Linked DNA regions of Astyanax mexicanus. The protein of the gene in region 2 binds, or shares a complex with, the protein of the main gene of each other region. Links are inferred from orthologs where the notes say so. Each region holds a gene or a part of one and is shown on either strand. Other genes may lie near its edges.

Evidence for each region.
Region 1: nhp2 (region 2) and dkc1 share a complex: the UniProt entries of both Homo sapiens proteins name them as parts of the H/ACA small nucleolar ribonucleoprotein (H/ACA snoRNP) complex. The link is inferred for Astyanax mexicanus from reciprocal best matches to the Homo sapiens genes NHP2 and DKC1.
Region 3: nhp2 (region 2) and wrap53 share a complex: the UniProt entries of both Homo sapiens proteins name them as parts of the telomerase holoenzyme complex. The link is inferred for Astyanax mexicanus from reciprocal best matches to the Homo sapiens genes NHP2 and WRAP53.

What each region holds. Positions count from the first base shown.
Region 1 is NC_064424.1:18,992,595-19,003,206, reverse strand, and holds the start of dkc1 (H/ACA ribonucleoprotein complex subunit DKC1), read right to left. Parts: upstream 4,203-10,612; 5' UTR 4,152-4,202; coding exon 4,136-4,151; intron 2,333-4,135; coding exon 2,274-2,332; intron 1,495-2,273; coding exon 1,408-1,494; intron 1,357-1,407; exon of another isoform or gene 1,145-1,356; intron 987-1,144; coding exon 895-986; intron 855-894; exon of another isoform or gene 775-854; intron 698-774; coding exon 513-697; intron 381-512; coding exon 316-380; intron 1-315. Other genes in the region: tmlhe (trimethyllysine dioxygenase, mitochondrial), read right to left, coding at 9,239-9,370, 9,474-9,612, 10,129-10,365.
Region 2 is NC_064424.1:10,694,736-10,705,741, reverse strand, and holds nhp2 (H/ACA ribonucleoprotein complex subunit 2-like protein), read right to left. Parts: upstream 4,747-11,006; 5' UTR 4,566-4,746; coding exon 4,412-4,565; intron 4,284-4,411; coding exon 4,214-4,283; intron 3,028-4,213; coding exon 2,922-3,027; intron 2,776-2,921; coding exon 2,650-2,775; 3' UTR 2,291-2,649; downstream 1-2,290. Other genes in the region: grpel2 (grpE protein homolog 2, mitochondrial), read right to left, coding at 7,988-8,313, 8,830-8,911, 9,156-9,309. UniProt on the Homo sapiens protein: Required for ribosome biogenesis and telomere maintenance. Part of the H/ACA small nucleolar ribonucleoprotein (H/ACA snoRNP) complex, which catalyzes pseudouridylation of rRNA.
Region 3 is NC_064415.1:15,364,324-15,374,771, forward strand, and holds the start of wrap53 (telomerase Cajal body protein 1), read right to left. Parts: upstream 4,364-10,448; 5' UTR 4,147-4,363; intron 1,993-4,146; 5' UTR 1,787-1,992; coding exon 1,516-1,786; intron 644-1,515; coding exon 478-643; intron 400-477; coding exon 304-399; intron 218-303; coding exon 109-217; intron 1-108. UniProt on the Homo sapiens protein: RNA chaperone that plays a key role in telomere maintenance and RNA localization to Cajal bodies. Specifically recognizes and binds the Cajal body box (CAB box) present in both small Cajal body RNAs (scaRNAs) and telomerase RNA template component (TERC).

The DNA.
Region 1 (10,612 bases), about 8.3 Mb from region 2:
TTTACATACAAAACATTAATGGGTGGTCAATACAAGACAAATATCAATTTAAAGATACTAATCTATTACTCTCCCATTGTTTGACTAATACTGATGGATAAAATGAGGCCAATAGAAAAAAAAAACAAGACAAAGTTGATCAGTGTTCTTTAAGCACTGATAACCAAAAAAACACCACCAGAAACATAGTGTTAGTCATTAAAACAATGTATAATATATTTTAAATTTAAATAAAGTTCCAATTTGTTTCCCGGTTAGTCCTTAACATCAACAAACAGGTGTTATTTTACATTCAACACATACGCTCTCACTTACCCTTGCAAGCTGATGCTCATTTTCTATTGCATTGTGCAGCCGTACTATTCCCACATACTCTTTGCCTGAAACACACGGCAAGAGTAGTAAGGAGAGGCCACTGGTTTCACTGGGTGAGGTCAGACTCACTAATCACAAAACCAACTAAACAGAAATTCATAGAAAAAAAAGAACAAAAAAAAAAAAGACTAACTTACCAGCGCTCTGTTGAGACTTGACAAGTCGTGTGGCTCGGTCAACACACACAATCAGGCAGCCTGTGACCTTCGGGTCCAGGGTGCCGCTGTGGCCGGTCTTCTCCACACGCAGGATTCGTTTGATCCAGGCAACCACTTCATGAGAGGAAGGGTTAGCTGGTTTGTCCAGATTAATAAAGCCAGACCTGAACACAGAAACGTAAGATTTTAAAGTACTTCTACCAGCTCAAATAAAAAATATATATATTTTAATTTTACTATAAGCCATCAGTCTTGGGTGATAGATAGATGGTCATCTTTGCACAGAATGCTAATGCAATCTATATAAGATCATCATGTGGCTATTTTGAATGTGCTGCCTGTTAGCCTTATATCAGCTTACCGGACATAATCGTGAATGTTTCTCTTCAGTGGGTTTGAGCCGTGTGGCAGAGGTGTGTAATGTGCCGTCCTTATGTTCAGCTTGTCGAAGTTCTAGATGACAAAACAAAACAAAAAACATTAAAAGATAATCAAACAAGAACAAACAAGTACTAAAAACTTAGCTTGCATAGTTATTTATTTTAAATCTTAATCAATATTTATGATTTAAAGGGATATTAGCGTTAATATTCTCTAAAAATCTAAAAGTGGTGATCAGAACAGTCCGCTCGTCTTTGTTGGCGCTGGTCTGATCTCCCCACACCGGCTGTTCTGAACATCCCACCACTGCTCCAGTAGAACACTGAACCAGCAGAGGATAAACAGGCAACCGTAACCCTGCAGCCCAGAACGGACAGCAGAAGCCGCAGAGAGACAGAGCCGGCAGCACTCAGAGAATGGATAAACACGTTCATCATGTCACCTGCTGAGTTGGCCATGAAGGAAGACTTAGGAATTTAAGAGGAACAGTTACCTTCAATAGTAAAGGCCATTGAGAGGTGTCAAGCTTGGCAACTTTGGATTCAGGTTTAATGAGGAAATCGCCAGTTTCTTGGATCTCCTGAGGGCCAAACACAAAGCAAAACACATGATCAATGTGACAAGAAACAAAAACATGCAATGTCTCTCCCTGGCATATTATCTAAGAGCAAGTACTTAACAAAAAATATCTGCTGAGGTGTTAAGTACAACAAGTACTAGTCTAAAACTGCTCATTTGTTTTTTCTGGGGGTGATTGGGATATGAAGTTCTCTAGATTTACTGTTTATAGGCATGTGGTTTTAGCACATTGTTTTATTCATAAATTACCCATCTCCCAGATTCCACATAAAAATTTCATTCAATGCTTTCAGACTGAAAAATGCAAAGTCAAGCTAATATTCACATTTAAACAATGCTAATGTTCTGCCTTTCAGTGAACTTTACATTAAAAAAAAAAAAAGTACAAAAACTGTATTTGAATGATTATCCTTGATGTGACAGATTTTATATCTTGGCATACTCTACACCAGTCTTTAACATTACTGCTGGGTGATTTTACAAACAAAATTACGAAGCTTAGCTCTGCTAAATGAAATAATTGGAACAGAACAGCTGTCGTGTTTAGACAATATAACTGAAACCTTAGCTAGCTGTCTAGGTTGGTAATTATTTAACTGTTTGAAATTCTTTACAGATTTAATTCCCCATTTGGTTTAGTTACAATAAAAAATAGCATAAAAAGTCAGCAATAAAAGATATCAAACAAGCTGGTGTGAGATTGGTTAGTCCAACCTAATACTCTGACTTTAGATAACAAAAGTATTAACAGTATAATGGTTGATCAAATTGTCAAATTACCCCAATTTCATCATTGGAAATCTTTGACTTCTTCTTCTTCTCCTTCTTAGCTGATCCAACTGTGAAGGAAAAAACAACTATTAAAACAAGCACATTCAGCGAGATATTACCAAAGGACTTGAGCTCTACTGCCTAAACCTAAAAATGTTGTCTACCTACCCAGACATGTGAATTCTGGGTTAAATCCAGTGTCTCTCTCACGTGTATACCTGTCAGTATAATTATTTATAATTTACAGAGTCTAGCCACCTTGGTATAACATTAAAGCTAATAAAACTAAAGAGAAATATCTTAAATGTTTTAAAAGTAAAGCAGCTAGTAGTGGCCAACTATAGTAGCACAGCCAGCACTTGCTTAGTCCTTTTTCGACATAAAACAAATACGTCAGGCTGTATCAGTTTGAAAAAGAAGAAATTGATTTTCATACATTTTTTTTTTACTATCTAGTTTTTTAATTTCAGCCTTTCCCAAACAGAATTTCAAGAAAAATGAAAATCTTTTCTTTATTCTCATTTGACCATTTTTGTCTCTTTCCAAAATGGAAAAATCTGAAAATAAAAAACAGATTAGTTTTCATTTTTCCAGAAAACGAATTGGAAAAATTACACTGCACTACATAAAAAATTACACTCAATTTTCCATTTAGCCTTAACCACTCAGAAACACTGACCACGTTTCAAGAGACTAGGTAACGTTAAATGGTTAAGTTTCTTCTAGATGAGTTAACTAGCTAATTAACTGGATTGTGCAATCCATATTAAGAAAAATAAATTCACAACATTAACACTTATAAGAGAGCAATCAATTTAAATTAAAAACGACAAAAAAACAAAGCACAATGCTTCAGCATTTTCTTTACAGCTTCATGTAAAAAAAAAAAAAAAAAGCTGTGTTAACATTGCAAATTCAGTAGCCCTTAGGTTTTTAACTATTTAATACTTTCATTTTCTACCCCAGCTACACAATATAAATTATTCAGGAATGTTCAAATTTTGGAATAGAAAACAACCAACTGTACTAAACATGCAATGTATTAATAGGTAACTTAGTTAACAAATTGTAGCGATTTAGTGCCTTGGTGGTACAGCACCCACGTGGCGAACGCAGACAACACGTGGTGCACAAACCCAAGCTAGCTAGCTAAAATAATTTCCAAGACTAATTTAATAAATATTCTCTCTAAACTAATAATCATCCTTAATACGGCATTATCACTGACACGTTAAAAATGCATTAAGCTAGGTTTGTCAATTTAATTTTGATGACTAACTTACTGGGGAAAATGTAGGCAGTTAGCCAAGCTAATCTAGCCTAGCTAACGCCAAGTTCTCTAACCGGGTGTTAGTAGGTGAAAAATACTACGCTAGTTATCTTTGCAAAATACCATAAAATAAAGCGATGAAATAAAATATAGAACTAACACGAGTTAAAGTCAAGCTACCAGGCTTTTACACAGCTAAGCTAAAGAGTTTTGCTGGTAAAAGTCGGCCAAGTCATGCACCTCAGTGAGCTAAAGTAACCTTCAAACTAAGCTAAGCTTCAAAATACAAACAATCTAAAACATTTAAACAACTTTAAAAGCATTTTAGCTCCATTAAATGACATAAGCTACTAATTCTGCTCAAGCAAAGAGTCTTTAAAACTGCAGCTAGCTCCCCAAATCTCAATCTCCCCTGCAGCTGCGCCACCCTGCTCTTCATTTTCTCTACCTTCAGAGGTCTAACTATCTATTTACTAAGCTTTACACAAAGCTAAAACATATTAACCGCGTCCTAAAGATGCAGAAACTCACAAACGAAGCTATACAACACAAAAAAAGCTTTAGAAATAATATAAAACACAGAGTTCAACACTGCACCCACTTTCTCCGTCCGCCATCTTCCCCTGCTGCCCGCCGAAGACCAGACCAGCACGTGTGAAGACTCTCACAGAGACCCAAGTCTCGCGGGATAATTCTGCCTAATCTCGCGATAAGAAGGAAAAACGTTTTTATACAATGCTTGGGCAGCAGGTGGAGACACATGCCGAGAGATAAAGCTGCTTAATGTTGATGTATATAAACGAAGTACATCTTTATTGTACTTAAGTACTAGAATTTTATATCTAAATATCTGAAGTATCCGTATTTACTCTGGTATTATTTGTTTCTCCTGCTTCCACTTTTTCTCACTACATATTTTCAATTAATGTAACACTTTTAATCTAATACGTTCTTATGTGCTGCATCCAGAAGAGGATCTAGGATTTTTCTGAGTAAGGGGCCACAATATTTATAGAAGGGCCAAGTATTATTTCACCAGTCACACCATGTTCAAGATAATTTTATGTCAAAACTTTTACACAAAACAATACAAACAAAATAACATGAAATTGAATGCTACTAATGCAGCTGCCTTCAGATTGGACAACAGCTATGATTTAAGACGCAGTCCAGTGTACTTCAGTGGGAGAGGGGGGGCTATAAAGGAACAATATGCATGCTATATGCTATGAGTACGCAACCATTAAGATCATAATACTTTTCCAAGTGTACAGTAGTGACACAGCTATCCAAACAGACTACACTGGGAGACGGAGGCTATATAAGGCATGATAGTGGTTGAAGCAACTGTGACTTGTTGACAACTGCCACTAGCTGAGTAACTCATTAAACGGCTCGTCAGAATGATATGCCGGTAAAATTGACTGCAGTTGTAAGAAATCTTATATTTAGTAAAATGTGTCTAAAAGCAAAAAAAAAAAAGGAAGGAACCCTAATTTACCATGCAAATTTCAGACACATGCTAGGAGAAATAAACAATTCTTCTAGTGTAACTTTCCCAGTGTACAGTTGTGACTGCCTGCCTGCACAAACTGCAATGAGAGATGTGGACTTTATAAGATACGATATCCGCATGTATTTACATCATGATGGTGAGTCCTCAAAAACTCACAAAAACATCAAACCAACCATACTAAAACACCACAACACCTGCATAGCAATCCTCCAATCAAATTAAAGGTGATGTCTGTAAGTTTTGGGATTTAGGGCCCTCTCTGGTGAGAATGGGTAATTGTACCGAGCATGCGGAAGAATCATTTTAAACTGGTCGGGTGTGATGAGGTCTCCTTTCAGAGCGGATGAATCCGATTCCAGGTTATGTTCAGTCAGAGAGAGAGAGCGTGCTTAGTAAGAAACTTCACTTCTTCGTTTCTTTGGTTTTACTCTGGGTAAATGAGCTACTGAGCTCTGATTTCCCCTTCTGAAGTCGCCATTGCTCCACCAGCCACTCGCGTTCAGTAAAACTGAGCCGGATCCTCTTTTAGAGGCTGTGAATGTGACGTAAAGATGCGTGACATGGTCAGAAGAACTTCTGCGAAAAGTGACCCGACAGCCCAGTTTTAAGAATTAATATATTAGGCTTAGCAGGGATGATCATTCCAGCACACTGGTACCATTAAACACAATATTTTATCCCTTCACCACTCAGAAATGCTTCTGCTTTCAGTTTAGAAACACAATAATACGGACTGCCACTTTAACTAGATAGAAAATTAAATGCACCAATCAAATCTTCAGAAAAATCACTGGAGAGGAGTAAACCCACTTCTGTTCAGAATCTGTTCTGAGTCTCTCCGGCCACCAGGGGGAGTCCTGAAATAAGTGTACAATGAACAATGAATATTATATATACATGATCAACATTTCCCCAATAATAGGAGATGTAATGACAGTTAGACAAGACAAACGAAAAAAAACAACAACAATGTATGCAAGCTGTAAAATATATTTATTTGCATGGGGTGGTTTTGAGGCTTTAGTTGTGTGTACAATCATTTTTTTACACTACAGTAAAAATACAGTAAAAATAAAATGCCTGCAGCAAACAGACCTTCAAATGTACAAACTGCCTATTATTCTTCAGCAATTTGGGATCGTACCTGTTATCTGTACAACACATCGTGACATTACCAAAAACATTGACTTTGCTCTTCACAGTTTCCTTTGCTCACCCTGTATATGTATCCCAAATTCTGTGTCAACAACAGACCTCACAACCATTTTACATTATGGAACATGGAAATAAGAACTGCTTAAAATGTCTGTAAGCAAGTGCCTGATCACAGAGCAGCACAACTGATTGTATTTTTATTAAAATCACCAAACTGCAAAAAGCGGCAATTAATTAAACTGTCGCTCAAATGATCGTTTTTTAATTTAACAGTATTTAATTTAATTTAATAGTGAAACCTAGCTAGCTAGCACTCTTTAAACCTGTGTTAAGAAATGTAATTTTTACACTGACAAGACAAAAGTTATGGGAAAACAGAATGTAAATTGAAGTGTTACCACAGACAACAGCTTGGGAAAGGTCACACCTGCATAAGTTTTGAGTGAAGCTGAACACTGGCTAGACATGACAAAAGTCATGGGACACAATACTAGACACTGAACCATGAACTGTACCATGTCAGCGCATTGTATTATAGCAAGAATTATTTGACTAATTGACATTTTGTACAATTGGTGGATGTGTATTTTATAGTGCTCAATTTATTATACAATAATTAAACAATTAAGTGTTGTTTTGTTCTGAAACCTATGCGCTTTCATATCTGTGAACTTTGGACCAGCAATCTTAAGCATATCTAAGATGATATTTAAGATAGCTGTAAGGGGAAAACATATGAATTAAGAAAATGCTGAAGAAAACAGATTTATTTTGGCCACGTTTTGCATTCTAAATAGCTACAAATATTTATAAAATTCTATTATATACTATTCTGACCGCATACTGGACAACTGGACTATAGTCTTTAGTGAAATATAAGCTAGTCTTTAGTGAAATATAAGCAATACGCTGCCACTGACAATAAGTTACTTGAGGTTAAATCACAACATGGTCAAAGGTGGAGGAATGCTGATCACTCCCACATTGAAGTAATCTCCATTAAATCTGCTGCCTGTTCTGTTATCAGTTAAAGAACAGGGTCTGGTTCAGCAGCACAGGAAATAAACTCCTCCTCCTCCTCCTCCTCTGATGATGATGATGATGACTGATCCCCAAGAACTTCAAATCATCAGCTTCCTGTTCACACTGATTCATAAGCTTGTTCCATTTCAATATTAGGATTATTATTAAGACATTTGTTCACATTTTACCTCCTGGTGTTATTATTTTTCATCCCTTACACATTCCAACTAACGTCTGACATGACTGGCGATAAAATAAAAAAAAAAGGTTCCTTATTCCTTATTAGGGAATATTACAGAAAAACATACATTTAAGCACACACATTGGGTATCTGGAATGCCTACCAACGCACAAACTGTGAAATTGTACAGTCAAAAATTTTCATTTTGTGGGACATGTAGGAGATAAAAATATGTATTCAACATGCCATTCAAAATTGTCACAGTTGCTACGTCGCTGGCCATCTGATTATAATTACACCACCCCAACCATAATAGCTCCACCCACTTACTTTGAGAAGGTAGAGTTTCAAAAGATAAAAAACTAACAAACAGATACAAAACAAAAGAAAACAAAAAGCAACTGTCAGTTCATAGGGTGTGACTTCTTTTGGCTATTCTGAAAATATACAGCTCTGGAAAAAAATAAGAGACCACTTAAAAATGATGTGTTTTTTTATTTTACCAAATTAAAAACCTCTGGAATATAATCAAGAGGAAGATGGATGATCACAAGACATCAAACCAAGCTGAACTGCTTGACTTTTTGCATCAGGAGTGGCATATAGTTATCCAAAAGCAGTGTGTAAGACTGGTGGAGGAGAACATGCCAAGATGCATGAAAACTGTAATTAAATTTCACAGTTATTCCACCAAATATAGATTTCTGAACTCTTAAACTTTATGAATATGAATGTTTCTGTTGTCTTTGCATAATTTGAGGTCTGGGAGCTCTGCGTCTTTTTTGGTATTTCAGTAATTTCTCATTTTCTGCAAATAAATGCTCTAAATGATAATATTTTAATTTGGAATTTGGGAGAAATGTTGTCTTTAGTTTATAGAATAAAACAACAATGGTGATTTTACTCAGACATATAGCTATAAAAAGCAAAATCAGCAAAACTGATTCAGAAACTGAAGTGGTTTCTAAATTTTTTCTATAAGTGTATACCAAAAATTGATGACAAAAAGCAGAACATGAAGATGAAAATTGGATGCATAGCACCACATAGAGAGAAGATAGATCTTAAAAGACCATAATGAAAAAAGAACACATAAAGGTTTAATCCTAAATCATACACTACTCCCTGGTACTATAGTATTGAAGTGGACTATAGTACCGTCATTTCAATAAAGAATTATACATTTGTAATTGAACAAAACTGACAATTATTCATGTAAAAATCAGAAGTCTTTAACTATCTGTACATACAAATGTAGTTTTATTTTCCTTATATACTTCACTACGTAGGGAGTGTACAGTATTTGATATTCAGCAAGAATTGTTCTTAAAAAGCTCTGTTTTCTTCATTTACAAGACAACACTGAAAAGAGGGTTTTCGAAAATGTCCACCTTTTCAAAAAGCTTAATTTTCAGTAAATGTTGGAAAAAATAAAACTTAAACTAGAAAAATAAACTTAAAAGTCTAAGAATCCGTGTAGCAGAGAAGAGTGATAAATATGGAAAAACGGTGGGGGAGGTTGGAATAACGGTGGTCTATTATCATTTAAAGATAGAGGCACTCAAAACCGCTGTTCTAAACAGGGTTGTAAATGGTTGATGTGGTGCTTCTTTCTTGTGCTATTTTGACCAAAGCCTGTCATACACATTTCATTAAGGCCCAAAGTAGCCGTGACATTTAAGGCCACCAGAGAGACAGACCCTCTAAAAGTTCTTAACCTTTGATTTAAATGCACAAAACATGTATAAAGGATATGACTGATCTGTACCGATTACGCTAATGCTATTTCCGTTATCCTTTGGTGTGTCCTAGTGTTAGCTGTTTGCTGTTCAAGCCTGAAGGCCGAGGGAGCGGGCTGTGTTGAGCACGTCGTCTCTGGTCAGATAACAGCCACAGAGCTGGCGGAGCCCAGTGAAGGACTCTCTACCATGCAGCACTCTCCAGTTATCAATGAAAAGAACCTAAACAGATAGAAAAAGATTTTGCTTCTTTAGTTTTACACAAAAGCCAAAGCCTAATCTAGCTACTAATGTAGCTCACAAGTAAAAAATCTTGCTTGCTTACCTTGCCAGGTTTAAGTTTGACCCACAGCTCGTTCTCAGGCTTCCTCAGCTCAGTAGTTAGCTGTCTGTGGGCGACATACCAGCGCTGCACCACGTTGTGAGGAACCGTGTTCATCGTTGCACGGTCATAGTTATTATACCTAAACAACAAAGAGGCATTATGACAATATCATTATCACAGCATAAACTATTGAATATCTCAGTCAAAAAACACAGACCAGCTAGAGCAGTGCTACGTGCAGAAGCTCATTTTAGTGCTTCAAATCAGCCTTAAACAACATTTGTATTTGCTGGTGGACATAACAGCATTGCTTTCCCACATCAAGAACCCATGCATCAACAACTTAACAATGAATGCACCATGTCATGCCTTTTTACTAACTGTGAACTCCTGCACCAGTAAAGATTTACAGAATCAATTTTGTCAAATCCAGAAGACAAGCCAACAACTCTCTTGCAGCTTTAAGTAGGCAAGTCATTTGATGATTCGATGATAGTGTGCAAATCGAGTAGCTACTCCCATCTCATTTAAGCCACATTTTTTAAAATCTGTGTTATAATTTATTTCACTTTTCCATGTCCCATCTTATCTGAATACAGCTTGAGACTATTTCTACAAAGAGAGAGCTTGAGTAGTCAGTACAAGTTTTGCCTACCGGATCATGTAGACTTCATTGTTCCAAGGATAGACGTTCAGAACAGGGCCGATGCCGATCATGTGGTTTCGGTGGTGGCCTTGGTTCTCGATGTACTCGTGTTTGATGGGGACGCGTGAGAGAAGCTCAAAGTTCTCAGGTGATTGCTGGAGCACTTTGTCAGCAGCGTTAAATCCATCCACCAACAGAGTTCTGCCGCCTGTGCCCTCATGCCTTAGACAGTGGAACACCTGGATCCTACCATGAAGCCAGAGAGGGTAAAAAGAGTGTAAGTGATGCACAGAAATGGACAGAAAAAATCTACAGTGTTATTAGATTCAACTTTTTTGTCATTGTTCAGAGTACAGGTACTGAGCTATTGAAATGCATTTAACATATACACAGCTCTAGAAAAAAAAAAATAAGAGATCACTTCAGTTTCTCTGATTTTGCTTTTCATAGGCATATGTATTTGCAGAATATGACCTCAAATAATGCAAAGAAA
Region 2 (11,006 bases):
CACTAAAAATCTCTTACTGATTGGAGAATTAGTTTAATGAACGTATGATAGTGCATCTTGGAGAGTTATTAAAAGTCATATTTAATTTTGATTTGAGTGTAATAAATGAGCTTAAGTGACTGTAGTGACACAGGCATTTATTCTAAAGGGGTAGAATCAAACTATCTGATCAATTGAGGGGGTATGGGATTTTACCACAGGTGGCCATGCAGCATCATGAGGAGATGATTTAGGCAAATGTCAATTTTGCCATAAACATTCTATGTTATGATAACTACAGGTGCTGGTCAACGAATTAGAATAATTTGAAATAGTGCAATCATGAAATTCTTTGAATGCATTTTTTGTGCAGAAAGCAAATCAGGTGTTCACCGCACCTGTCCTACTCGTTAGACTAATCACAGAACTCGTTACCTGGAAAAAAAATTGCTCAGCTGAGCTTTCCAAAAGGCCCATTTAGGCCATTTAACTGTGACACTGTTGTTTTATTGAATTAGAATAATGGAGAAACCGTTTCATTGAATTAGAATAAATGCTCAAATTTTTGTTTTCTGTGAAGAGTGTTCACTGTGCAGTATAAAGTCAGGGTTGAGTAGAATTTCTAAGTTGTAAAATCAATCATGGGTAAGCAGCGCGACCTCTCAACTGGAATAGTGGCTCAAATTCAAGCCCTTCGCCAACAAGGCTTGACCCAAACTAAAATTGCTGAGCAGCTTGGCATCAGCCAGTCTTCCGTCTGCAAAGCTCTCAAGAAAAACTGCAGCAAGCGCACCAACTGTTCCGGCGTCCGAAAAACTTCTGCTAGCGACAACAAGCAGCTGAGAAAGATCGCAGTCAGCAACCGGTTCAAGTCCACTTCCGAGCTCACCGACTTGTGGAACAAGCAGACCGGCGCTGACGTCTCCAGATCAACCACTTACCGTTGTCTGCGCGAACTCGGCTTCAAATCTCACGTTCCAGCAGTAAAACCGATGCTGAACAAGAAACAAATGGAGAAACGGCTGAAGTGGGCCAAAGAACACGGTGAGTGGACTGCTGAAGACTGGCAGAAAGTGGTCTTCAGTGACGAATCACGCTTCTGCATCTCCTTCGGTGACCAAGGTCCTCGTGTCTGGCGTCGTGGTGGCGAAACCTACAACCACGAGTGCGTGAAAAGATCCGTCAAGTTTCCCCAGAGCGTTATGGTCTGGGGATGCATGTCCGCTCGAGGTGTAGGGAAACTCTGCTTCCTCAAGAAGACTGTCAATGCTGCCGTATATCAAGATGTTCTGGAAACGTTCCTGATTCCGACTGTTGAGGAACAGTTCGGCGAAGAAGACTTCATATTTCAACAGGATCTTGCACCGGCTCATGCGGCAAAGTCGACCAAAGATTGGTTCACTAAAAAAACAGCTTGAAGTTTTGGCATGGCCGGCCAACTCGCCTGACCTCAATGTCATTGAAAACCTTTGGGCCATCGTCAAGCGGAAAATTCTCGACAGAAAGCCTACTACGCTGGACCAACTGAAGCAGAACATCGCCACTGCCTGGGAAGCTGTGAGTGCGGAAACTTGCGCCAAGCTGGTCAAATCGATGCCGCGGAGACTTCAGGCAGTCATACAAGCCAAGGGGGCAGGCACAAAATACTGAGAAAGTGATGATTGTAATTATAATAAAAATTATTCTAATTCAATGAAACGGTTTCTCCATTATTCTAATTCAATAAAACAACAGTGTCACAGTTAAATGGCCTAAATGGGCCTTTTGGAAAGCTCAGCTGAGCAAATTTTTTTCCAGGTAACGAGTTCTGTGATTAGTCTAACGAGTAGGACAGGTGCGGTGAACACCTGATTTGCTTTCTGCACAAAAAATGCATTCAAAGAATTTCATGATTGCACTATTTCAAATTATTCTAATTCGTTGACCAGCACCTGTACATTAAGTGAACAAAGTGTCCATAGTTTGAGAGTTGACTTGAGTTTTGTGTACTAAATTCTTTCAAATATTTTATCCTGGTTTTATTCATTTTTTTAGTGTAGACTTATCCCATTATTAAGAACAACAGCTGCTAAAGTGTTGCTCAATGTTTGCATATTTCTATACATGAATGACTGGAAAACACTGAAAAGACCAATGTCATACAATGACCAAGTCAAAAGCCCTGAACTTAATATGAGAATCAAGAATCTGTGAAAACTCACTATTTTTATTTTACTATTATTTTAAGAGCATATTCTGCAAATAAAATACTCAGTATGTGTGTTAGTGTGAATGACTTATTTCAGAACAAATAAAACTGACACTGTTGAAATCATTTCATAGATTTTACTTCAAAATAGTTCAGATATCTCAACACAAACATATCCTTTAGAGTCAAAATAAAGAATGAAAGCAAAATGCAACATTTCTGGAAAAACTACATAAAGTAGCTGTCTGTTTTTAACACCAGTACACAAAATACAGTCAACAGGTTTCAAAAGAAACATGAAAATCATATGGTCATTCTTTCAGCTGAATGGCAATTCCTGGGATTGCTGGTATTACAAAATGTCCATAAAGCTGTGAGGCCCATCAGGATGCCAGGCCACACAGCACATTTACAACTGTGCTGCCAAACATCAACATAAGGCAATAAATGTTCAAATGACACCAATGCAGACAAGCACACACTCAGAGGGGTTTGGGGAGGGCAGAGACTTCCTCCAGACACTCATCATAAGACTCCTTGTATTCATCGTGAGGTTTGATCATGATCACACAGGTGGGACGCTTTGAACCAGCCGAGGAACCCAAATCCTGCAGATGAAATGAAAGGCAGGTGTGTCACAAACTATTGCAAAGAGCATCACAGTCATATATCAATAGTTGTTTATCAAGTTGCTAAGTAATTTGTTAAGCTTAAAATACATCATAAACTGTACACCCAACATGGTCACACTCACCACTTTTGAGGGAATATAAGCATAAGGAAGGTTTCTGTCCTCACACATGACTGGCAAGTGGCAGTAAACATCAATCGGAAGTGTATCTCCAGCAAGCACCACAATCCTGAAAAGGACAGAAAACAAAAGTCGCAAATGTTATTTCTTTAACAGTCCTCAGAAAATTGTTTATTTAATAGCTTCCAAGGTGGTGGCTACCTTCACTATACTAATCTCCACGATTTCTTTAGCAGGGTAATGAAGGCTGTAGTCTATAAATATTCCATAATTGTTTAATGTTAGAATTTAATTAGTTTTTTTTTATTTGCATTTTAGTCACCAAAATTTTCCATAAAGATGGCTAGAAATGTGCTACAACTTGTGGCTAATTAATTTAAACTAACTTTTCTGTATTTTTCATTCATGTTTTCACATTTTCATTTAGAATTAAGGCTTTTGGTTGGTTTTACTGCTCAACTGTATAATAAATTATCACATTTTTTAATAAATGTCTATGGCAACTGTCATATGTTTTTGGAAAAAAGTAGCATCTACTCCTCCAGAGAGTAAACAGAGCGCACAGATCAACTGTTTTTGTAAAAAAAAATAGGTAGAGTCAGGTATTGTCAGTCTTGTTTAAGAGAAAAACCTAATCTATTTTTAAACACTTTGTGGTCGAACACTGACCCTTGGCACAATTACCCAGCCAATGCAAGGTTTTCTTGTTTTGGGAATTTTGCAGAACAGTGAGAACTCCAGGATCTAAAATGGAGTGAACCCACCTTCTACAGTCACACTTTAATTCCTTGCTATTGAGCCAAAAGAGCACATGGTTACGTATGAGTAAAGTTCCTTAAAGCACCCGGTCCATCATTTTAACTCAAGAAGTCCCTATGTGACACACATTGCAGAATAGTGGGTGAATGGATGTTACTTTTTCTGATCTTATTTACAAAATACAGGAGAAATGGGATAGGGCTGGAGACAAAAATAGCTCATTTATACAATGCATTTTCTGTTCCAAGCATTTCAACAGTTTAAAGGCTTAAATAAAATGTTTTGCTTTTCATAGAACTAGTTCTGACCTGACTTCAAGAAGAAAACAATAAGTGAGTAAATTGTTGTTGTGTCCTTTAAGTTACATGAAAGAGCTGCAAATTCAATTTATCAAATTCAATTTTAAAAATGATCAATATTCAGAAATTGGTCTGGGCTCTTATGGGTTTAAAATGTATGAATAGCTTGTCAGTTATGAGTTAGGAGTATCAGAAGTGACTGAGATTGACTTTAGATTAAAATAATCTGTATTTTACCCAGTCTCTCCTTTGTTTATGAACTTCTGCACTTCTTTAACTCCCCGGCGAATCTGTTTCAGCTTGGCCGCTGCAAAACAAAATAAAAAATTACACATTACAGGATCACTCAGGATCTGTCTCGTTCTTTTTATAAGTGTTATATACGTCTGTTAGCTTTTGGGGACTGAAAATAGAATGTTTGTTTGCTGTTCTCACCTTTTTTGACGCATTTATAAAGCTTTTTGCTGAGTTTTCTCGAGGCTAAAGGGTTCGCGATGGGGTTTATATTGGCTATTAAATCCTGGTAGGATCTCTCTGTGGCTCCAGCCTCTTCCTCAGTTGCGCTCTTCTCCTTCTTTATCTTCGTCATATTTAACACTGTGAAATAACGGCAGATAAACTGTTTATTGGGTTTTTAATGCAGTGTTTCGCCGCGCAGCAGCACAAACACACGTGTTGGAGCTGCGTTACTGCCACCAGAGACCCTTCCGCTCTGTCGCCAGCCTGCACTCAGTTTCTGTTCATGACCGCCCCTAGTGAACGGAGGACTGAACCTGGAGTTACCGAAGTACCATAGACATAATAAACATTTTTGTTTAATTAATGTTGTATACAATACAACTCAACAGCCTAAAACAGATACAATATTAGGTCAAATACACATTATATACAACCAACAACTCAAGCACATAAAAACAAAAACACAGATAAACAAACCTAAACAAACATAAAAAAGAAAAGTGGGATTCAAACAAAATCTAAAAGCTTCAAAACATCAATACACTTAGTTTTGTTAATATAAAATGTACCTAAAATTATAATTAAAATTACTGTAAAATTTGTATGGTTAAATAAAGGGACATCAAAAAAAAATAAAATATATATCCGTTTTTAAAGGGGATTTCCTCACCCAACCTCTTCACTTCTAAAAAAAGATCAATTCAAAAAGAGCAAGAAAATCCACAATAAAAAAAATAAATGTAGACATAATATACATAGACACCTCATCATGGGCTGAAGCATCGCCGCCATATTGGTTGGGTCTGTGTAGATAGATAGATAGATAGATAGATACTTTATGTGTATGTATGTGTGTATTTATGTTTTATTCCCATTTCAAATTAACAATAAAACTTTTTTCTTCATTAAAATATCAAATTAATTCATTAATACACTTATTTATACACATTAATATTCCATACCACGTATGTCTTTGTTAAAGAGCATAATACAACGTATTTCAGCTTAAAAGCAGGTATTTGTAATGTGTGTCTGAATCATAACTACATCTCTGCAGTATGTAACAAACCAACCGTGTGAAAATCGGGTAAAAATGGCTAGAGTTGTGATTATTATAGTTGTATTAAAAACCTTCCTCAATACAAAGGCACTTGGGGCGCATGGGAGACCCATCCAATATGGCGGCCCCGCTGATAATCAGCTCCAATATGCGGCATATATGTGTATTATGTCTATGCGTAGTACATGTAAATGCAGGCCAAAGAATCAAAGGGCGTGGCGAATAAGCGAGGATACTGTCAATCATTTCGTCCATCAGCCAATCGTACAACAGAGATCAACTGTCAAAATATTATATAATTAATATTTGAAACAAATAAAGAGACCACTTCAGTTTCAAAATCAATTTCTCTGGTTTTGCTTTTTATAGCAATGTATATGGGTAATGCTGCAGACATGTCAATCATCCAATCAATTAAACCAATTAAATTCTTGCTCTTAGCCATCAAGCACTAATTATTGATCCCTAAATATTTAAATCGGTCGTTGAGCACAATGTTTGTGGTATAGTTACCAGGATGACTGTTTCTCTGTGACTTTGAATTATCATCTGTTATCAGCACTGATAAATACAACCTGACTACAACAAGCTGAAATGCTGTTTCTGCTGCATCCAGCCTCTTAAAGTTAGATCTTATTTACAGCATACGTGTTTACACCTGTCAAAACTTTATTGTATCCTGTAACTCTATTCATAGTAACATGGTGTAATAACAATATTAAATCATAATAATTAAACATTTATAAACTATGACTGCTCTCACTTCATAAAAAATATTTAATATATTAAACTGAGACATAAGATTAGCAATATTAGCTAAATCTGGATTTACAGTTTATGTAAATATGTTTTTATTTTCGTTTATTTTCTTTAATATGTTGAACTTTTTACCCACAACACCAAATATTCCTGCAGTTATGGGGAAATTTAAGCCTTTTCAATACCACTAAAATTAAGAACACTTTAGCAATACAAAATGGCACATTACATTTAAGACTACAGACTTTAGAGTAAGAGTATTCCTGGATGATCTGATAAATATTTGAAACAAACATTAAACTTGTATATCAAATTTGAAAATAGTAAAAAAAAAAAAAAAAAAAAAAACCTTTGGGAGATTTTAAAGATAAAACAGCTAAAAATTACAAGGATAACGTTTCAGCTGTTTTAATGAAACAACAAAAAGCAAAAGTAATGCTGTACTGAACATGCCACATACTACACAACTAAACACATACATTTCCTATAGGCATCTGAGTTCTCAGTGTCCGCACACTACAAGAAAAAACTAGACACATGGCTGTGAGGAGATATATATATATATACACATAATATTACAATTCACTTTCTATAACTTAAATTATTTATATATATAAAAATATCTAACACTGTAGAAAGTGACAAGTTTCTCTTTTGTGATATGCACTTTATATGTACAATGTAAGGTGCACTAACGCTATATTTTTCTGACATATATTTTTTTATAATATTAGAATATGTTAAATAGAGTCTGCTCTTTGGGCACTGCTGATCTAACATTAAGGCACAAAACATGACACATCCCAAAATTGTCAGTATGTCAGTAATAGTGTGACCACTATTAAGTAAACCTTTACAAAGAGGCTTTTCAGGCCATCCTCTCACTCTATGTAATGCCTTCAGAATGCTAACCTCAGAAGTTACAGTACAAAGACATTTGGATTGCACATTGTACTGCTAGAGAATATGTTGTAAACGTAACAGGGTCCCAAACAAACACAATACCTCCCAATCACAAGGTTCAATGAGGTATTATAGTTCTGAAAATTAAGGTACCATGAAGTGTAATACAGTTGTATTACATTGTGGTTGAATCATCTTATACATATAAATACAGTTTTGTATCAGTGTTGACTTCCCAAAAACGCTCATTACAAAATCAAAGAAAAAAATAGTAAAAGGGGGAAAAAATAAACAAACAAACAAAATTACAGAATGTTTTAAATAAAGACAAAAACATAAATCTGTACATGGCAATAAACAAGAACACATAGGTATTTAACACTGCAAAAAACGAAACAAATAAACCATCATATCAGGGACTGAATTAGCTGAAACACCAATAAGCCATAATATTAAATCCACCTGCCTAATACTGTGTTTGTTGGGTATGGACTTCACAAGACATAACCAGCATTAACCTTCGAAGCAATCTGTGCTGTAGTAGCTCATCTGTGGTATTGAACCTAAACCTGGCCTGGCCTTCCTTCCCTATGCACAGCCCTTTTTCTCAGTTCCAACAGATTAACTTCAAAAACTGACTGTTCGCTTGTTGTCTAATGTGTAACTCTCACCCCATGATAGGTGTCACTGCAATAATATAATCAATGTTATTCACTTCATCTGTCTGTGGTGTCAATATTATGGCTGAACAGTGTGCGCATATATAGATCAGTCATGCACTGTTCCAAGAGCTTCAAGTCGGGGTAGTATAAAAAAAACCACACCGGTCATCAAGACTCCTGGGTTTTTACAGCGATGCCCACATGCGCATGACGAATAGTGCGCCCATGAAGTTTGTACCCGTCCTGCTTGACTACGGCTATAATACCGGGCTCCACTCCTTCTGCTGGAGTGTGGCACACTATCTCATGCTGATAAGGGTCATACGTGGACCCCACAGGTTCCATCTTCTCCAGTCCATGTTTGGTGAAAACTTCTTGTAGTCTTCCCTGGATTTGGGCCAGGTTTTCAGTCAGACTGGTTGTCTCTGTGCTCCCTGTAGTTTTCTCCAACATGTCAGCTACTTCAACTAGGTCCCGACAAAAACTTTGAATCCCTGAAGAAGAGACAGAAAATATTAATTATCAAAACAAACTACTGCTGATTAGTGGTTATAAATAGCTGTAATAAAAGCTTTACAGTCATTTTATAATTCAATTGGTATGAATTAGAACTGATCTAACACTGACTGGCAGTTGAGGAAATACATTTTTTAAATGTATTCATTTTAGAAAATAACTGATTTACTACTACAAAATAATTCTGATTATGTTAAAATCTATCATGTATAATTCTAACCTAAATATGTATACACTGTACACTTGATCTACATGGTTACCAGTAATGTTGCTAATAAACTTTCACCAGTCAATAGCAAGGCGCAACTATATTTTCGTTCTGCAATAAATATATATTAAAAAAAAGATTTGTGAGTTTTAAGTGCTAATTTTAATTTGGACAACAAATATGTTTAGGCTGATCGACTGTATCTAAACCAAGTGAGAAAACCTGTAATTTGTAATTATGAAAAAACATGTAGTCTATAATGCCTATAAAACACATTTAACTTTACCAAAGAGCTTGGCGTCCTCGACAAACTTCTGTGTTCTTCTACGGACATTGTCAGAGTCAGCAACAGCTCTTTTGTACCTCTCCTGTGAAACACATGGACATTATACCATATATTTTAACCATGTTTTTTTTTTTTACACCATCCTTACAAAATACATGTAGAACTGCATTAAACCATTGGCAATGAACATTAGCAAAGTGAGTACATGGAGTAAAGCATTGAGTAATCAACAAGACAAATAAACAGAACTATAATTCTGAGAATAAACTTTTTATCTGAGTGATTAATTTAGTCCCATTAAGTATCTTACTCAATAAATTACTTACTGTAAGATCTTGAACCTGCTCCTCCAGTTTGTCAGCCTTCATCTCCAAATTCCTGACGTGTGTAACTGTGTGATTCCGATCATCATCGTCGCCATCATCATTATGGCAGTCGTTTCCTCTCTGGGCTACAGTACTGAAGAAACCAACATTTGAGCTAGAGCAAAAAAAAAAAAGAGAAATCAAAACGTGAAATGCAAAAAATAAATAAATAAATAAATAAAAATACTGAAACGGATCTTAAAAAAAAAATAAAAAAAAAAGACATAAAAGTCAAGAGTCAGAATCAAGTGAAAGCTTCATATTAGTTAGCTTAGTTCTTCTATAGCCAGGGTTTAATACAAGTGTTTCTATCTTTACCAAAGACAACAGCTGTGAGTATTAATGTTTTCTTGTTTTTATTTGTATTACTGTATTTTTTTAATAGAAACATAAATGTTCCTGAATGCAATTCTCCAAAATAAACCCTCAAAAGAATATTTAGATTTTGCATCTTTCCTTTTTCCCTTAACCGGCTTTCTAAAATGTTACATTAAACAGTTAAATTAGTGCAAAATACAAAAATTTTTTTGAGGACTGACGGTGATGGAGGAGCCAACAGCGGGAAAATCTTTAGAAATTAGAAATGTGGTATTGTGTCCAAAAGCGATAAAGAAAGTCATTCTAAATTACTAATATAACTACAATACAATACAATAATTCAAATAACTTAACTGTTTATTATAAACCTGTTTCAGAGGTTTACCTTATTTATAACTTATGTATTTATCTTATCTTAACTTTTTTCCTTAATGAGGAAAAGAGTAACCTCTATGAAGAATTTCCTTAAGACAATTTTACATCAAGTCAGAAAATTACGTTTAAGGCTACCTTTTATTGCAAGTCTAAAAACATATTTTTTTTACCAATTATAATAAAAAACATCATTAAAAAAATTCTTATCTCTTGAGGAGATTTTGAAAGAAAAAAAGGCACTTGAGTGAATCCAGCCCCAGTATTAAAGAAACAGTGTTAGCTTAGCTACAGAAGCTGTGCTGGCACAGTAAAACACCTGTCAGCATCTTAAAATAGATCAATTTAATGTTTAATGGTAGTGTACGGATAGGTTTGTACATAGAGTGTCTTTATAAATGTTCGGCGCAGTGAGTAATGCAAAAAAAATGCAGCGACCTCTCCAGAAAAAAAAAAACAGCTGGCTATTAAATTATTGGCAATCACGCAGCATTACACCATTACACTCTACTCCACTGGCACGTAGGATCATTTGGGCCTTTGGGTAGGATAGCTAACGCTATACAAACAGCCAACTACATTTTAAATTAGCTTCGTTAACTAGTTAACTAAAGTGGACAACATTTGTGCTCAGTTTTGTGTTGCTAATTAACTACCTCACCGGCTAAATCGAGTTATTGATCCACTTTGATAACGCCAGCTGTGTTTTTAACCTAGCTAAGCCAAGCTAGCGTTAGCTAAGTAGCTATTTAAAAACCTAGTTCAGCCAACCTGGGCGCACACACACTAATATATATGTCGTTTCCCTTTACTTACACACTCAAATAACCCGAAAATAGATAATATTTTAAAGTATCATCAGTTTAGTAGCTAGTTAAATAGGTTTACAGCAGAAGAAACATTTAAATATGGCTAGCGTTAATAGTTAGCGTTAGCACACTGACGCTGGGTTAAGAGACGCTGCATTAGCTTAGCCTAGCCTAGCCTGTTTTGGCTAATGGAAAAACAGCCTGAGGCCTAAAGGGGGTAAAGCTAACCAGCGGGGTTTCTTCCCCTTCAATAACTACTTATGGCTCTGATAATCAACACGGACATTCTGACAACAACTTGATTTGTCCACTA
Region 3 (10,448 bases), on a different chromosome or scaffold from region 2:
ATTTAGAGTGACGTTATCAGAGTATTGAAATATATGGTTTAATATACTGACATTGATGCACAATAATTATAGTATTTCTAAGTTAGCAACAAGAATAAAGCAGCTAACCATTTCTGACAACAAGTCCCAGCTGCCACTGTAGATCTCTGGCGGGAGATTATAAACACGTAGCACGTTATCTGCACTATTTGAGAGGATACAGGATCCGTCTGGAGCCCTGAAAGAGAGAAAAAAAAAAAGATAATGGTTTACTTAATATGCACCGTTTCCATTGACACGTATCACTTTTCAATGTTTGCTCACCACTTGCAGCCTTTGAGGTAGTTCTCAGGAGTGTGGGTGTATTCTGCCCAGGACCCGGTCAACATCTGGGGGTTCTGGCTGAAATCTAGCCCAAGACTGTAAAACAAATGACAAAGTCAGATTTCATTTAAAAAACATACCCAAAACATCTTAAACAAGGCTAACTGTACTTACTACTGACGCTGGCAGGATGTGTCCTGTGGACTGGTGTCATCCAACTGATCTCCTCTTTCAGCTTCTTCAACTGCATCCTTGTTTTCTGCTCCATTCTGGTGCCACTCTTTCTCTCCTCCTTGTGAGTCTCCTGCTGTTTTTCCATCCTCCTCTGACTTACTGAGGTCTGAGACACCAACGGAACATTGACTTTCAATTGGATATATTACTTTAGGACGTAATAGGGCTAGTCAACTACACTGCAAAAAATCCATTGGCAAAAACTAGACAAAATATATGCAAATTATGTAATGGGGTAAGCAAAATGTTCTTAGTAAGATTTCTTACAAAAAGCAATGGCAAAAATCTCAAAATGAGTGAAGTAACACCTAAATCAAGCAAAAGTCACTGTTTTGGACACAAGAATCAGAATAACTTGATTGTGCTTATTTTGAGTTCAAATTACTTAAAGTAAGGTATAAATTAAGAAATGATTAAGAAATGATAAGTAAGAATGATTAAGATAAGTATCCCTAAAATAAGCAAAATAATCTAACACTTACAATGCTTAGTAAGACAAAAAGTCTTATCAGAGAAGAAAATAAGATTTATTGCCTTAAATTTAGAAGATTTCACTTGCTAAGATTTAGATTTTTGCAGTGTAAACATGGTTTTATGGTTTCAAACCCACCACTGAATAAAAACACTAGCTCAGAGATTCTCTAAAATACAATGTTTCACTAGGATTAGTGCACAAAACTTTTTGGCAACCAAAATTACTCTGCAAAATATGTATAAAAAATAAATAATTAATAAATTAATAAATGTGTTCCATCAAAATTTAAGTGAAGAGACGAAATACTTTATACCAAACTTTTTTTTTATAAAATGAAAAATCTATTTAGGTCATTTAATATATTTAACAAGAAACAAAGTCAAAATTAATTAAAAAATCTGGCCTAGTGCTTCATTTTGTTTGGTTTCTGTCAAAAATAAATAAATAAATAAAAATAATCAGTGCATCCCTAATTATAAGACCACACAGCAGAAGAAGCTCACCTTTGTCTGTGATCAGAACAATGCCTTGATTCCCACCATCATCAAATGTGGTATCTACACCTGTATCAGTTGGACAAATGTCCAACCCTACTCCTTCAGCAAGACGTGGCTGCTTGGCAGCAGGCGGTACCGCCTCCTCCTCTGCCTCCTCCTGAGCTCCACTGATGGGCAGATTCTGTGAACCTTCTTGAGGAGGCTCTCCATCAGCTTCTGCTTCCTGCCCTGCTGCTCCCAAACCCCCACCTTCACTACTCTGCCCTGGTTCCGACATATCAAGAACTTTCTTTTATTTAAAAAATATGTGCTGCTTTTCTTCAATACGGCTCGTGTGCAAAAGATTTTCAAGACGAGTGGTTTAATTCTCCGTCCCGTCTGTCAAATTGAAATCAAGTAGGTGCTACTGGGGTAATGTTTCTTGCGACGGTGGTTTGATCGTACTCTTAATGGCACTGGGAACATCACAGCAAAAGCAAGACCCTGGCGACACAAGAAGGAAAGAAAATCACAGCATTATTAAAAAAGTAGAAATGGAAAAAAATACATCTAAAACTATAAACAATGATGTTCAAACTATTTGAAAATTTTAAACATAACTGTATCAAGACTAGATACCAGTAGATACCAGTTTTAAATTAAACAACAACTCTGGTAAGTACTGGTAAGATGTTGCCATTCTTTACTTTAGTTAGTTTCTTTTTCAATGCAAGTGGTAGAGCTAAGCTACTGTTTGATTGGCTAATAAATGTATATTCTGACGGACAGACAATAGATCTCAGTCTTGGTTAAGTGCAAGAATACACAAGAAAGAAGGAAAAACAATGTCCACTGCAAAGGACAGAGGGTCTGAAAGTGAGGGGACAACTTATAAAGCATTAATTTACAAAAAAAACAAGCTGTACTATTCTTTGGCTATGATTAATTATCTCGTTCCCACACCTTAATAAATCGTGGTCATGCCTTAATTATTTAGTTTTAACATGATGTCACCTTATGCTGACCTTTTTGGACAATTTTTAAGCGATGTCACTTTCACAGACGAATTTCCAGAGTCTGGACAAAATCATGAGTCTTGCTAGAGTGGAGTTGCGGTCACGTCATCTCAATGGTTCAGTGTAAGGTGGTTAGGGATGAAAGTGTTAGTCAGTCTTTTTCTCTTCCTGATGTTAAGATAAAATCAACCATGTTTAATATTATCGTAAGCCTTGAGACTCGGCTCACAAAAATAGTGATGTCAACAATCAATAGGAGAGCTACAGGAAGCCGCAGGGCAAGAATATTTTATGTGACTGTTTACAAACGATTTGAAAAAGAACACATTTTGCAGTTAATTTGCCTTACTTTAATATGTACATTATTTTAAACACAGGTGGCACTTTTTGCACAGTTATTTTATTTGTGCAGTGATATTTGTGATACAAACAAGTTCAATAAATACAATTTTTGCAAGGATGGTGTTCTTTAGGATGGTATTTGCATTAATTCTACCTAAAACAAAGACGTATAGCAGTGAAAGTGTGATTCTTTGCTAGACAAGGTTGAAGCATAAAAGGGGAAAAGAAGGGGCAGAGGCATGTTCTCCTCCACCAGTCTTACACACTGCTTGTGATTATCAATCTTCCTCTTGATTATATTCCAGAGATTTATATATATATATATATATATATATATATATATATATATATATATATTCCAGACAATTTGGTAAATTCAAGAAATCATTAAGTGTTCTCTTTTTTTTTCTCCCCAGAGCTGTGCATACAAAATTTTACACTCATTACTAGGCATTATAGTCGGCTATGCACTTAAATTAGTTAATAAAATAGTTGAATTAGTTGCAAATATCAATAATTTATCCCTGAGGTACAGGATGAAGCTCTTAAAAAAATGAATGATTAAGAAAATTATCCCTAAACTAAGCAAAATAATCTAACACTTAAGCATAAAATGGGAACAGAAGTTCATAGGCAGAGTTGAACACAAAATGCATTATATTAAAACAATTAAGAACCAACAGTGTGACAGAAAAATAAACTGTTGATGGGGACAAAAGTTGTGAGTCTATATTTAATATATATTATGTGTATATAAAACTCCACCAGAAGCATGATGGGAAATAATCTTAGAAAGAGAATCTGTGCAAAATCGTAGCCTGTAAGTAAAAAGTCTGTGTCTTGTCTTTAGATGTGAGAGAATTTCAGACTTTAGCCTAAAGTCTTTTCAGAGTCTTTTTTAAAGTCGTGTAGTGTATGGACAGCATAAGGGGCTTCATAACTTGCTGTATAGGATTTACGACAAAACTGTAAATAACCCAGATAATCAGATTAATGCACAAATACAGTATTATAGCTGTTAGCTTAAGTCAAATTGGTAGCTGAACAGTGAATATTAGCCTAGCTAATGTTTACAGGCCATTTAACATTAGCTTGCTAGCGTTAGGTTAACTAGTTAGCTAAGGTTAGCTAGTTAACTGTCACAGCAGTACTAGCAGCTCAGACTATCCTCTCAGCAGCTGTATTTATTTATCTATCTATCGGCGGGTGTGGGTATAAATGTATCAGCACGCTGTACAGAGTAAAATACTGCAGCAGTTTAATGTTTTTAATCAGAGTTTAGCTCCAGCCTGGCTGTTACCTGTAGTTCTGCTCCGCTGCTTCCTCCAGCCGTGACTTTCTGAGGATAGCTCTGCTGCCAGCAGTTAAACTCGCTCCCACAGCTGAACCTGTCCCTATAACAACACGAACAGCAGAGAGTCCCGGGTTTAAATCACACACTACGGCCTGAATCCAGCAGACACTCGTGCTGCGTGTTTACACACGAACAGACCCGCCATATCAGCAATATAAACACCGCCAGATATCGCGAGATCTGTGAGTATTTAACAGCGCTGTAATATCAGACTCAACCACCAGAGGTCACTCGCGGACCATCGCTCACAATCAGGCAAATCGTGGGTCCAAATCTGAATATTATTGAAAAGTTACGTTATTTTAGTAATTCTATTAAAAATGTGAAACTCATTTGTTATATAGATATATTACACACAACAGAGTGATCTATTCTAACCATTTATTTATTTTATTGTTGATGATTATTACAGAAAATAGAAGGTTTCAGTGTAACAATGTAACATATTTTTTCATTACCCCTAAACAACTTAAAAGTTCTTTACTTTTAATTATTTATATTGTATATATTGTAGTGTTTATTTTATCTATTTTTATCTATTTATTTTTGCATCTCATCTCATCATTTACAGCTAATGAAAATCCAAAAGTAAGTATCTCATATTATACAGTTCTGGAAAAAAAATTAAAAGAAAACAATGTTTATTTTCCCCAAACATATACCTAAAAATAGCAACATCAGAAAAACTGATTCAGAAACTGAAATGGTTCAGATTTTGCCATCTATAGGTATATAGTAAATAAACATTGTTGTTTTAATTTATAAACTATGGACAAAAATTTTTCATTCCAAATAAAAATACTGTTAAGAGCATTTATTTTCAGAAAATGAGAAATGGCTAAAATAACAAAAAGATGCAGAGCTTTCAGATCTCAAATAATTTTATATTATAAAGTTTTAAGAAAGTTTTTTTTAGAAATCAATATTTGGTGGAATAACCTGTTTTTTAATCACAGTTTTCATTCATCTTGGCATGTATTCCTCCACCAGTCTTACACACTACTTGTGATCATCAATCTTCCTCTTAATTATACTCCAGATTTATATATTTTATATATATTCCAGACAATTTGGTAAATTCAAGAAATCATTTTTAAGTGGTCTTATATTTTTTTTTTCCAGAGCTGTGCACACAAAATTGTACACTCATTACTAGGCAATATTTTTTAGTCGCACTTTAATTTGTTTAATTAGTTGCAAATATCAATAATTCATCCTTGAGGTACAGGATGAAGGTCTTAAAAAAAGGCTCTTTAGTGAAGGTGATTTTTTTAACATAATCAATCAATCAAGTCTTTTTTAAAAAGGTTTACAAAATGTAAATGATAAAACAACAAGGCAACACAAGTCTGTATCCTTAATAATAAGCATTTATTTAGTATTCGTCTTCTTTTTCAAACAAACAAAACCCCAAACTATTTACACGCTGATTAATCAGGACATTACTACTTTGTTGCTAACATTTTCAGTATTGACTTCAGAAAAGTTTTATCTGACTCGTTTAAAAGTTTAGCTACAGGGCTAAGCTGACAGGTAAGAACGAAAAGGCAAATGAACATTTTCTTATCTCCGTTACTGTTAATGTCTTGACATGAGCGGCATGAAAGGAGATTCAGATTCAATACTGATTTTGTCATCGCCCTTTGCATAAAACCAAAATATGGGAAAGAAAATCATCCATAACATGAAATGTTTTTGGGAAAATGTAAGATGTTTCTACAGTCACTACCATTATGTGTTTGGAGTAGCATTAGCTTAGATAACAGATTTTGTTCACATTCTAATAAAGCCCACAGTCAACAAATATACCATACAGTCCAGATTTTAGACCTGTGTCTAAGCCTTTTTCTTGCAAATACATGTAATGGTAATGATGACTCACCCCAGTTAACCTATTGTCATTATCAAGTCTTAAACTGCCTGGTTTGAAACTTTTGCCACAATAAAAATATGGGACTGCATTTCTACGAGCCCTGTAGTCACATCTACGACCTGCTGACTTGGAGAGAGTTGGAGAGAATCTAAAATGTAGAGATAGTCCAGGTAACGTTAGAAAGACAATGCACTTCTTATTAAGAGCACTGCCACACTGTAAAACCTGCATGCAGTGCAAAACCTCGTTACACAACCTGCACTTACCTACAGAGCAGCGCAAATGTACAAGCAGACTAGGGTCTCCAAATAAAGTCAGACTCCAGGGTTAATTACACTGCATTATCTAATTAATTCTAGTACAGAATAAAAAAAGGATATAGGGCTTTGCAACTGTGCAATGCAATGTCCCATACTATTCAGTCAGATTTTGTCTGAACAGGTTACAGTAAGTCACGTCTTTGCATGTGTTTAATTTAGGGCTCAAATGGTTCATTTTTTTTAATCTTCTCGATTAGAAGCAAAGCTTTGATTTTTCTCATTAGAAGATTTTTTAAAGAGCTGTTTAGGCAGCACTGAAGTAAAAGAATGTTGAGCTAAGCCTGGTCAACACATAATTTTTCAATCTTTAAGTAGAGGCTTGTCTGTACAGTTAAGGCATGTCTGAGGAAAGAAAAAAAGAATAATTATCACCACACCCAACAGAAAAAAGCAAAAGTCATGTATACACAGTTTACAGGGCAGCAACTTGCCATGAGTATGTAGTCTTTGTATACATCTGTATTTTTGTGTACGAGTTGGTGTTTGAATACAGTTCAAACCAATCAAGACAGCAGTTGATGCAAGTAGGGTTGTGTGAGATTTGAGTATCTGATGATCATGCAGCGTGTGTGCTGAACATGCCCGGCCATGTATGCAGCAGGGCCGGGGCATACAGCTGCATTACTAGTCTGTACAGGTTTTAACTGCCATAGTTCTGTAGTTCCAGTATCCAGAGGCTCCACTCTTCCACTTATCCACTCCCACTTTCAGTCACCTGGAGCTAAAGCTACCTTTAGAGAGACTCATCTGTCGGTTTTCATTTAATAGCTGTTCTTGAAACGTAGTTTCATGGATAAAAGAGACGAGGGGTCCCCGCTTCTTTCCTGTACTGTCGTTTCGCTCTGTTCTGGAAAGGAGATGATCTCTAGGGTCAGCCTCCTCCAGCTTCACGTGTGTTAAGTGAGAGAGGGGTAAACAGCTGGTCAACATCCTGCTCTGGATCTCTGGAATACTGGTGTAGAAAGAAGAAAAGAGAGCAAGTAATCAGTTAAAACGAAAGAGGATCATCACAAATCAATATCAGACTGGAATTCCAAAAATGTTTTAGCATCATTTCAGCATCATAAAAAGGTTAAGAAGGAGGATCACAGTGGTTTATGTGGTTTAAGAAACTCCTCTAAAATGCATTAAAAATTAAAAGTGCTAATATACGCGAACAGTGAACGGTGCTGTAAAGCAAAGCATACCTTAGGAAATCTTCACTTGCAGATATTATTTATAGTGTAGACAATACACCAATAGTAAAACTAAAAAGTGTAAAATTGAATTGTTGACATAATATGAATATGTTGTTCTGAATCTGGAACTTGGTCTGGTCTGCATACTGTGTGAAAAAAAATTATACACATACCAATAGAAGTTCTCCAAAATGGCTATCAAGCATTTTTTTTATTTCCCAAATGTCTACTTAACAGGAATTAAAAACCTTCTTTTAGTATTTCAATTAAAGTCAATGTAAATAATGTAATTCCAAGTCATTTCAGAGCATTTCCATTGGTTCAAGTCATCAAATTTCTGTATAAAAAAAAAACGACCAAATTATAGTGATATGCAAAAAATTAATGAACGTAAAATTTCTCTCTAATCTAATTAATCCGAATCTTGCAACTGTTTTGTATGTTGTGTGAAAAATATGAAAATAAATATGCCTTAAAATGCCATAAAAACCTAAACTATGAATAGAAGTCAATATAAACAGTATATAACTTAGGAAAATTTATAATGGCCCATTTATTTAAAAAAAAAAAAAAAAAAAAAAAAAAAAAAAAAAAAAAAAACAGACCCTGCATTTTTATTTCAAAAGAAATGTAAGACATTAGCTTTTACTACTTGTTTTGGAATTTAAATAAAATGGCTCTGTGTATTCTTACTATTTTCATAACTAAGCAATAATCAACAACACGATGAAGGTGCAGCAGACAGAGATTAGCTTACAGAAAGTTAGAATTTTCCTTTAAAAGTCTACATGACATGCAAAACAAGTGAGAAAAATGCATTTATTACCAGACAGGCAGTTCTGCTGCACAGGCGACTCCATGCTGACAGTAATCCGCAGCAGTGTAGCAGGCAGTCTATAGAACCAGTTTCACCAGCTCAACCATCCTTCCTCTGGTCCTCCTCCAAGGCCACTTCTCCATCCTTTAATGGAACCATGCGCAGAATTCCACTTTGAACTCCAGCCTCTGATGAAAGCTTTTTTTGTTTGTTTGTTTGTCATCTAGCACCCAGAATCGATCAGTTCATAAACCTTCAGACAGCGGTGTGTCTTTAAGCGTGAAATCTCTGAACGGCTGGAGTTCCATCGTGAAGTTCACAATTCCAAACGAGGAGCAGAGCTGAAGCTGGTGTTCCTCATTACGACATTCAGAGTATCGGATGTCTCATTAGCCTCCTTCATTGGTGTGGAATCAAGCTTAGGGTCAGTCCTAAGAATGGCTGAGAGTTAGTGGAAGGGGGTGTATGATCTATGTACATGTACACAGGGAGTGAAGAGGAGATATACTGCTGTTTGTTTCTGTCTTGCTAATTTATACGCTAACAGAAAGGGTCTGGCTTCAGCAGGATTTTAATTGTCCAAACGTGCCATGTCTCCAAAGTGCCCCTTTCATCTTATTGTCCCCACAGGGTCCTCACAGTTTTGAAAGTGTGTGAAAAGTGCATAGCGAGAGTATCCAGGCAGTGCTTGTTCTTTTTTTCTTTTATTTTCCTCTTTACGAACTGCAAAAAGTCAACTGCCGTGATACTCCCTTATCGCCCATGTGGAAACAGAAAGGCTACTAACGGTCCACAGACTGTGATGGCAGGTCTGAGGTCATACATATATACATCCCTCATGTTTTTCCGGTCATATCCACAATGTTCCAGCATGTTGTAGACACGTCCATCTTTCCATCAACAGAAAACAAAAATTCTAGAGGCAATTTCTAGATGGGGAAGAAAACTGTTAAAGCGTCAAGAGTTGCCTTCGTGCATTTCAAAGTACCCAAAAAAATGGTTTGTGCTGTTTGCTGTTTTTTTTTTTTTTGTTAGTTTTTATGATTTTTGCTTTCTTTTCCAGAAACACGAACCATTTCTTTGCTCTGGATCAACATAAAGTATCTTAAATCCACTGTGATGGAAAAATAGGCCAAAAAAGTACAACAAAAAACAAAACAAATTCAGTAAACAAAACTGGGTCAGCTTTGTAATAACTCCTCATCTCGATGCTAGTTTGATGCTCAAAGCACGGAGAAACCATCATTCTTTTTGCCACACCCATTTCACTACAAGAGGGAGGGGTATTATCATGTGATTACCACAACCCCACCTCCAAACGTTTTTGAATTGAGTCACATTTCCACACCATCACCCTACCCCCACCCACCCCACTAAAGAAGAAAAGAAAGAAATGCACCCACAAATGTCCAAGTGTTTTTTTTTTGTAAACAACCAAAACTCCAGTATGGAATAGATTTTTTTTTTCTTTTTCATTTTCATAGTCATATTGTCTATGAACAGGATTGTAGAGGCAGTGTGTTCTAGCGGTAGTCATCTCGACTTTGTCCATCTGCTTGCTGAACAGGTTTTCCGAAGGAAAAAATATATAAATCAATAGATTCTCCATCCAAACGTCCGACTACTCTTCCATTTTTGCGCTGAATAAAAAGAGGGAAAAAAATCCGGCTTCTGTTTTCTTTTTTTTTTCACCTTTTTTTGGAATACATTCAATGTTTTTTTTAAGAAAGAAATAACACACTTCACATGGTGGCAATGAAATTAAAAACTAAAGGAAAATCACTTAAAAAAGACAAAAAATTAGCAGCCCCAAGTGCTCTTTTGTAGTCCAAATACTTTTTTTTTTAACTTTGTGTGTATATGTGTATTATATTATAGATTCATATATGCAATAACAACAAAAAAAGTCATCATCAACAACAATAACATTAACAACAACAACGACAACAAACAAGTAACATTATATGAACATTTTGTGCGCGGTTATGCGCACTTGCACAGTTTGATGGGATCTTTTTTTTTTCAGTTTTTTTTTTTTTTTTTTTTAAGCCAGTCAGTCA